3 linked regions of the Kluyveromyces lactis genome follow. The protein of the gene in region 3 purifies or fractionates together with the protein of the main gene of each other region. This does not show direct contact. Links are inferred from orthologs where the notes say so. Each region holds a gene or a part of one and is shown on either strand. Other genes may lie near its edges. The genes, in order: SGF11, AHC1 and ADA2.

The links.
Region 1: the proteins of ADA2 (region 3) and SGF11 purify together in Saccharomyces cerevisiae (affinity purification with mass spectrometry; 9 studies listed by BioGRID). This does not show direct contact. The link is inferred for Kluyveromyces lactis from reciprocal best matches to the Saccharomyces cerevisiae genes ADA2 and SGF11.
Region 2: the proteins of ADA2 (region 3) and AHC1 purify together in Saccharomyces cerevisiae (affinity purification with mass spectrometry; 3 studies listed by BioGRID, with this or other methods). This does not show direct contact. The link is inferred for Kluyveromyces lactis from reciprocal best matches to the Saccharomyces cerevisiae genes ADA2 and AHC1.

Annotation. Positions count from the first base shown.
Region 1 is NC_006040.1:997,179-999,590, forward strand, and holds SGF11 (SAGA histone acetyltransferase complex subunit SGF11), read left to right. Parts: upstream 1-1,491; coding exon 1,492-1,785; downstream 1,786-2,412. Other genes in the region: CTA1 (catalase A), read left to right, coding at 1-1,142; ubiquitin-protein ligase RMD5, read left to right, coding at 2,020-2,412. UniProt on the Saccharomyces cerevisiae protein: Component of the transcription coactivator SAGA complex. SAGA acts as a general cofactor required for essentially all RNA polymerase II transcription. At the promoters, SAGA is required for transcription pre-initiation complex (PIC) recruitment.
Region 2 is NC_006041.1:833,837-836,677, forward strand, and holds AHC1 (Ahc1p), read right to left. Parts: upstream 1,876-2,841; coding exon 529-1,875; downstream 1-528. Other genes in the region: DDL1 (putative carboxylic ester hydrolase), read right to left, coding at 1-240; KLLA0_E09417g (uncharacterized protein), read left to right, coding at 2,390-2,812.
Region 3 is NC_006038.1:116,954-120,381, forward strand, and holds ADA2 (chromatin-binding transcription regulator ADA2), read left to right. Parts: upstream 1-1,572; coding exon 1,573-2,880; downstream 2,881-3,428. Other genes in the region: RPS17B (40S ribosomal protein eS17), read right to left, coding at 1-159, 816-818; snoRNA-binding rRNA-processing protein UTP6, read right to left, coding at 2,974-3,428. UniProt on the Saccharomyces cerevisiae protein: Component of the transcription coactivator SAGA complex. SAGA acts as a general cofactor required for essentially all RNA polymerase II transcription. At the promoters, SAGA is required for transcription pre-initiation complex (PIC) recruitment.

The sequences.
Region 1 (2,412 bases), on a different chromosome or scaffold from region 3:
TCGACTGGGTCAACAACAACACGCCAGTCTTCTTCATCAGAGATCCTTCTAAGTTCCCACATTTCATTCATACTCAAAAGAGAAACCCAGAAACCAATATGAAGGATGCTGACATGTTTTGGGACTTTTTGACGACAGAGGAGAATCAAGTCGCAATTCATCAAGTGATGATCTTGTTCTCCGATCGTGGTACTCCAGCTTCTTATCGTAACATGAACAGTTACTCGGGTCATACTTACAAATGGTCTAACAAGCAAGGTGAATGGCGCTACGTGCAAGTGCATTTGAAGACAGATCAAGGTATTAAGAACTTGAACAACGAGGAGGCGACTAAGTTGGCTGGTGAAAACCCTGACTACTGTCAAAAGGATTTGTTTGAAAACATCGCCAAGGGTAATTACCCATCTTGGACCCTTTACATTCAAACTATGACCGAAGAAGAGGCAGAAAAATTGCCATTCTCTGTATTCGATCTAACAAAAGTTTGGCCTCATAAGCAGTTCCCATTGCGTCGTGTAGGTAAGATGGTTTTGAATGAAAATCCAGAAAATTACTTCGCTCAAGTGGAACAGGCTGCATTCTCCCCATCGCACACCGTCCCATACCAAGAAGCTTCTGCTGACCCTGTCTTACAAGCACGTTTGTTCTCTTATCCAGATGCCCATCGTTACAGATTAGGCCCTAACTATTCTCAAATCCCTGTTAATTGTCCATATGCATCGAAGGTTTTCAACCCAGCTATCAGAGATGGCCCAATGAACGTTAACGGCAATTTGGGCAAAGAGCCAAACTATTTGTCTACTTCTAAGAAGTACCAATTCATTCAACAATCAAAGCCAATTCAACAACATCAAGAAGTATGGTCTGGGCCTGCAATGCCTGTACATTGGGCAACCTCACCAGGAGACATCGATTTCGTTCAAGCCAGAGACTTGTATAACAAAGTGTTGAGCAAACAGCCAGGTCAACAAAAGGCATTGGCCCACAATGTCGCAGTACACGTAGCAAGTGCATGCCCTGAAATCCAAGACCGTGTATTTGCCATGTTTGCAAGAGTCGACCGTGGTCTATCTGAAAACATCAAAAAGGAAGCTCTGAGCTTATCCCCAAGAAAGGCTGCTGCATTGAATGCAAAGTTATAGAGAGAATTAGCTGTGCTTTCTTTCTCTCTCTCTATCTCTTTCCGCTTTGTATGTACGTTTTATTTATCCCCATATTTATTACAAGTATACTATTAATATCTGTCCGTAATGAGATGCATGGTATCAGGCATTGTAGCCGCTAACATGTCGACTGTTGTCTCTTGTATTCTGCTTGTATTCCCTGTGCTTATCGTCAATTTTCTGCAATATCCAATTTTAATAGAAAAGCAAGGTCAAATTAGCTTACTTTGATATTGAAACAATCAATTCTGTTCTACGATCAGACATAAGACAACAGTACTGACTTGACTTATTCAGTATTTGCAACTATCAAGAGGTGGCTGTAACCATGACTGCTTCTTTGACCACAGATTCGGTTGCCGATTCCATATATCAGAACATTCTTACTTCTATCATCCAAGATATCATCTCGCGTCAAACAGTGAAGAGAAAGCTTCTGAAACTGCAATTCCCGGATGCTAAACCGTATTACGCTGACCCGTCAGGAACATTGGATATACACGGTAAGGCAAAGCAAGCAGACTCCGCCGTTTACATCGAATGTAATGTCTGTGGACGGGAAGTTAGTGGGAACAGGTTCGCTGCTCATCTCGTTAGATGCTTATCACGTGGTAGAAGGTGAGATTTCATTACCCAGCCTTAGTGCAGCCTTAAATCTTCCCCCAAACCCATAATGTGTGTCATTTCAAATCAAGTTGTCCAGCATCGTACCCTGTACCCTTAAACCTGTGATAACGATCTTTAACCCATCATTATAACGGTGTAAAGAGTTGTCAGGTGTTACTCTACAGAAGAGCGGAAAGTTAGAGACACTAGAACTAGCAAGTACCCTTCAGAGAATTAAACTGAGTTACTTATGTCGACTTTGCTAGAGACTTTAGATCAACAATGGGTCAATTCCAGATTATACGTTGATAAAGACGAGCGCAGGACCCAGCTTGGGAAATGTGTTGAAGAAGTGCACGACTTTAAGATCCAGTTGAAGAAATTGAAAGCGCATTTGCTGAAGCATGGATCAAGTCCACAGAAACGTCTTGTTATTAGGGAGAAACTAGCGAAATCTCATAAGAACTGGGATTCTTCCATGAAGAAATCCTTAAACTCTTCTATCAGCACTTACCGGAAGTTTTCAAAGGCGTGCGTCAAGCCCTTGAATGAGTTTCAATTGGATTCTGTTTATGTGAACAAGATAAACCCTCAGAAATTGTACTATTTGGATACGGCGATCTTTTCTCACATCGCAAGGTAT
Region 2 (2,841 bases), on a different chromosome or scaffold from region 3:
TTCCAGATCAACCTCGAAAAGATGATCCTCATTAACATCAAGTTTCCTACTGAAATTCTTCTGGGTATAGAGGTCCTCAATCCGTTTGGAGTCGACCTTGGAGAACGGTTGAAATTTTAAAGGTGCCGTTTTTGGTACATACTCTGATTCAAAAGGTTTGGTTTTAGGAATGTCAATTGCATAAAACCACCTAGATGAGAAATAGCGCCTATTTTCTTTCCACATAGCCCGCACCTTCATCAAGCTTCCCCATATATTTTCCTTTATAACAAGCACTTTACCACAATCCTGTACGGATTGTAGGCCAGCGTCAAGGTACTATTTCATTCTAGTTTATTTTTCAAAATATTATCTTTTTGCATGACAATAGGGGAAAACTTTTTAAGTTACGGATGACTGAATAGATAAAACATTCGACCTAAGTGATTGCATTAAACATTGCTGGCAACGCAATCCGCTGGAGTCAATTAAAGTTCTTTAATTTATATGGTTACATAGTGTTTTCGTTCCTTAAATATTGAATTTCGTTCAGTCATCACGATTGAAAGACCTAAGCTTTGACTTAGCACGAAGATTATAATGTCTAGAACGTTTTTCTTCCTCAGGAATGTGATTCTCGGTGACATGTATGACATCTGGTCTTGCTTTCTTTTCGGCAGGCTTATTCCGTTCATTGAGCATACTCCTTTTTCTAGGTTTCGGTTTTGCTTCTTCTTCTGAAGCGGTTCCTAAACCCTCCTCATCCTCATATTTCATTATCGTTTCAAGATCATTCTTTGCGTCCTTGACGTAGTTGATTATATCCTTGAAATCGTCCTTGCCATACATTTTCTGAAGATGGGTCGTTGATTTCGTTAGGGCGGATTCTTCAGCTACCGAGGTTGCCTTCGGCGTGTCTTTCGTAATTTTTTTGTCATTATGTTGTAAGGGTATCGGCGAAGCCAAATAGCTATCCTTTGGAGTTTTCTTTAACTCTTTGAACTTCGCTAGGATCTCTGGATCCTGCTTTTCATCCGGAAGTATAACCTGGTTACTGAGCACCGCTAAGGGTTGTGACTGATAGTGGAGAAAATGTTTTAGCCTCATATGATTGACAATACCTTGCGCAGATGTGAAACCTTCCCTTCCACATTGAGAGCATGTAATTATTATGAGTATTCCATCAGGTCTTCTGAATATAGGCTGACCCAAGTCAGTGGTTCCGATCATACCACTGTTGCTAGTAGCGCATGTGCTACTGAAGTTTCGTTGGTGATTATGGTGAGGCATCTTCGAAATTATTGCCTCTGATTTCTGTACCTCAGTGGCTGAAGTTTGTTGAGGAACAGTCTTTATGCCACGCATACGAATGTCAATAACGTTTTCATTAGCAAGCCGTAGCCCACTAACTTTCGATCCGCCTTTACTTCTTGTATGGTAGTAATAGATTCCCTCGCGGGTTTCCACATTTGAGCATCCCGCCTTGATGCTTTCCTCCACCTCTTTAGTTCTCGTCTCTTGGTACTTTGAGATCTTATCCGTTAGTTCAGGGTCATCATGCATTATCTTTAACACTTCCAACTGCCCGGATACCTTATCATTCTCTTCTATTATATGCTCCATTTCTTTATGTGTCAACATGATCTGCAAGTTTAGTTGGTCCAGTATTTCTCTTCTTGTGGACATAAACTTTAACCTTTCAGCATCTTCATGTGGGTGTGACGAGTGTATAGAGTCATTATCCTCATTATCCGCTATAGAAGAGAGTTCATGTGGTGATTTTGGAGTTGCCACTTGGTAATATGATATCGTGTGGTTTGATCTGGAAATGCTATCTACATCATCTTCATCCATGAAAAGTACCTGATGACTATTTCTATGATCCACAGAATGCATTAGAATATGTTTAGCAACAAATATAGGGTGACGGACGTCTATTAATGTACAAATTTGCTCAGTCTTTACGCCCTTTTCTTCCAAAATCTTTCTATTGTTAATAATCCGTTATGTACAATTTTTTTTTTTTTTGTTACTACTTATATGGAAAATGAGAATGAAGAGAAAGGCTCTAGCTGTTTAAAACCGTAAACACATTGGATAAATTATGCCTATTTTGAAATGGGTCGAGGAAACAGCGCGACAAGAAAGCTGGTGTCTGTAAACCAATCAACATGACCACTTAGTGAGGGACAAATATTGAGAATCTTTTGAGCCGTGATGAGCTCAGGTAGAGAGTCCGTTGTTATCAGTATTTCTTTGTATTTATCCTTTTTTAAAGTTTTCCAAAAGTCATTTTAGATAGATCTTCCAGACTTTAATAAACTGGGCAATACTTAAATTGAGAACACATGAGTGAGCCACTTCCCCTTGACTACCGGTATGTCTGCATATATCTTATGACAGGAAGAGTATGAGCAAAATTATTACGGATCTTGATACAATTGCCGGAAAGATCGAGGAGTACGCAGGAGATACGTTGTTAAGACTTCGAATCTTCGCACAATTTCAGGACATTTCTCATTCACATGAAAGAACCGATGGGATTTATCTTCATTTTAGCAACGTTCCAGATTTCAATGCAGAAACGAATAGAGAAAGATCATATTATTTCTTGATTGATGAGACAATCTATGACGAAGCGTTCATCAATACCAAATCAGGTGAAAGACCACATAAGGGCGATATCTTAGATATGAGATGTTGTTATAGGAAGTACGATAAAGTCGTTGAAATTATGCATCTGAAAGTGATATCGATCGCAGATTTGGATTCATTACGAGAATTCTTGGCGAAGGCGGACGATGACTCAGAGATTAGATCTTTTCTTCGATGAAAGAGGAGAAATGTTACTTGTATTTCTTT
Region 3 (3,428 bases):
GGTGTAACCAGCAATCTTGTTTCTCAATCTCTTAGATTGGATGGTAGCGATTTCGTCACACAATCTCTTGTTGGTTTGGAAATCCATGGTCAACTTTGGATAGTACTTTTCAATCAAAGCCTTGGAGGCACGCTTGACGGTCTTGGTTCTAACTCTACCCTACTCAAATAATATCAACGAATCGATTTGATCTTGTTAGTAAAAGTGGCTTCATTTTATATTGCTTCTGCGAAAACTTCCATGGAAGATAGACCTGAGAAAGAATTTGATCCTGTGAAGTTCATCATTTTGGGGGAAATAATTGGACATATGCGTTCGTTTCGTCAACTTTATTACATGTGAGAGACCTTTAACGTTAGGGTGATGAACTCCATTAATACTGTGTTGGATATGATGTTGTGGTAGCTCATATACTAATCAATGCAGGCCGTTTGCTTTATTTTGTTCCATTTTACATCAGACGGAGTTTTGATCCTTACTGTGGGTCACAATACTGGAACATGGTCATACATCACTCCTGACATGCCATAATGTTCAACTGGTGATTGGTACTTCCCAAATTGTGCAACTTTTAATACCTTTCTCACTTTCTATAGTTTTGTCTTCTTCCTCATCATTCTATTATTCTACAGTGACCAGTGCCAACCCAAAGTCCAGGTTATCTATTCCTCCTATAATCTCTCTTAATGTAGATTTTGGTCATTAGTCTACGTCTCCCGATCAATCCAGCTCTGGAAAAACACTTCTTCTCATAATCTCTTATCTTTATGGTTCTTTTCGCTTCAATTTGTCAGTTATCATCATGCTTAACGTACCATTTTGTATCGATTTAGTCCTTACGGTTGTTCCTTGTTTCAAATGCTAGAATAGTGTTAAACACGTACTGTCAACAATTGGTCTTGTAAATGTTACCGTAATCTTTAAAAGTTCATTATTACTAGACAGTATGAAATTTCATGGTGCAAACGTTGAAACAAACAGACTAACCAGGATTCACTCACAACCGGGGAACGGAAACGAAGCACAATGCAAAGGGAATACTAAGCTGGACAGAGCTAGGCAGAAGGTGTCACTGGAGGACACAATGTTACCGAAGGAACAGCTGGTAAGAGAGTGCGTGGTAGCATCCAAAGTGGGCAGAGATGGGACTCGGGAACGAAAGTGCGTCTCGTGTGGATGACAGCAAGCTAGACAGACATTCTGTCTTCCAGTACCAGTCCACACACCTTTCCCCTCCGTCCCAATTCTCTTACGAAGTGCCAAGTAGTATTTCCTCTTTTGGTTTTATCAAATTTTATGAAATTAGCGTTCTCGAATTTCAGGATTTTCAGATTTTTCATCCTTAATAAGAATGTAAGGATGTAACAGTCCCGCATTCTGTTCTCCTGTTTACATGGAAAGTTCAATTATGATGTTCTAAAGAATCAACAAGTGATTTCAAGAGAGTTTAAAGAATAAGTCAAACTCATTGATATAAAAAGATAACTAACTTCGAGGACCCGCAAACTGTTATAGTGATTTAGCTTTACATCTGTTTGACTTTGAACTGCTTCTCCTTGTTCAACCGTCACCATGTCTAACAAGTTCCATTGTGATATTTGTTCTGCAGATTGTACAAACAGAGTCAGAATAACATGTGCGGTGTGTCCAGAGTATGATTTATGTGTGCCATGCTTCGCAAAAGGGTTATACAACGGTAAGCACCGGCCAAGCCATGACTATAAAGTGATTGAAACCAACTCATACCCGATTCTCTGTGAGGATTGGGGCGCTGATGAAGAGTTACTGTTGATAAAAGGAGCCCAGACACTGGGATTAGGTAACTGGCAAGATATTGCGGATCATATCGGATCTAGAGATAAGGAAGAAGTTTATGATCATTATTTGAAGTTTTACTTGAACAGTGAACACTATCCTATTCCAGATATCACAAAAGACATTAATGAACCGCAAGAACAATTTTTGGAGAAAAGAAAGAAACGCATGGAAAGATTTAGGGAAAGGCCTTTGGAACCTCCTAGGAAACCGATGGCATCACAACCGTCATGCCATGAAGTGCAAGGGTTTATGCCAGGTAGATTGGAATTCGAAACGGAGTTCGAGAATGAGGCCGAAGGTCCGGTCAAAGATATGGTCTTCGACGCCGATGATCAACCGTTAGATATTGAAGTGAAGTTGGCTATTCTTGACATCTACAACTCGAGATTGACGACTAGAGCAGAAAAGAAGCGTTTGTTGTTTGACAATTGTCTGATGGAATACAGGAGACTACAAAGTCTCGATAAGAAGCGTTCAAAAGAAACCAAAGATTTGTACAACAAAATTAAGGCTTTCGCAAGAATCATGTCCCCGCTGGATTTTGAAGAATTCAGCAAAGACATATTGGAAGAACTTCGGTGTCGAACAAGAATTCATCAATTGCAAGAATGGAGGAGCAACGGTATCACTACTTTGGAAGCTGGTCTTAAATATGAACGTGATAAACAAGCAAGAATTATGACATTGGAAAGATTTGGAAGTCAAGTGTACTCTTCTTCTTCATCTAGTAACACTGCCCGTTATAGAGCTACTTCGGCCCATAGATCGCAAGCTGATTATGCTCAAAATTATAACGAAGGAAGTGGACGTAAGAAACTAATGACTATCAGTGACATTCAGCATGGGGCAGATTTCCAATTATTATCAGCTGAGGAACAGCAGTTATGCATAACGTTGAAAATTTTGCCAAAGCCTTACATTGCCATCAAAGAGGTACTATTCAGAGAATTAATACGGACTGCAGGTCAACTCTCGAAGAAACAGTGTCGTGATTTATTGAATATCGAGGCAACGAAGGCCAACAGAATCTATGATTTCTTCGTTTCTCAGAATTGGGTTTAATTAGAGTTATAAAACTGTGGAAATATTGGCTCCACTGCTTACCTTACTACTTAATGTCAAATATGTACATAAAAATGTGTATACAGTGTCTCATTACAGTTTCTTGATAATAGCATTCAAAATAGCATACTTCGAATCAGATTTATCCATATTGGATAATAGATGTTGGGTCAAATAACCAGAATATAATGTAGTAAGTTGTTTGGCATTCGTCTCATCTAATTTGCTGATGTATGCAGAATACTTTTTGAAGGACAATTGGAGACTGTCGATGTTTAATTCGCCGGCAGGCATGAATTTGATATTTAATGTAACATCATGCAATAATAATTCCACATATTTTTCTGGCATACTTTTCTCAAGGGAAATATTATAATGTTCGTCCTTTAGCCATTGCAATACGTGATTTATCAGATATTCTCTTTTTAAATCTTGAAATTCCGAAAATAAGTTGATATACTCGAGGCATCTATCAAACAGGTAGGACATAACGTTTCTGCTGAGCTCTTCATCGACTTGCGAATTGGTAACGGCGTAGTATCCTTGAT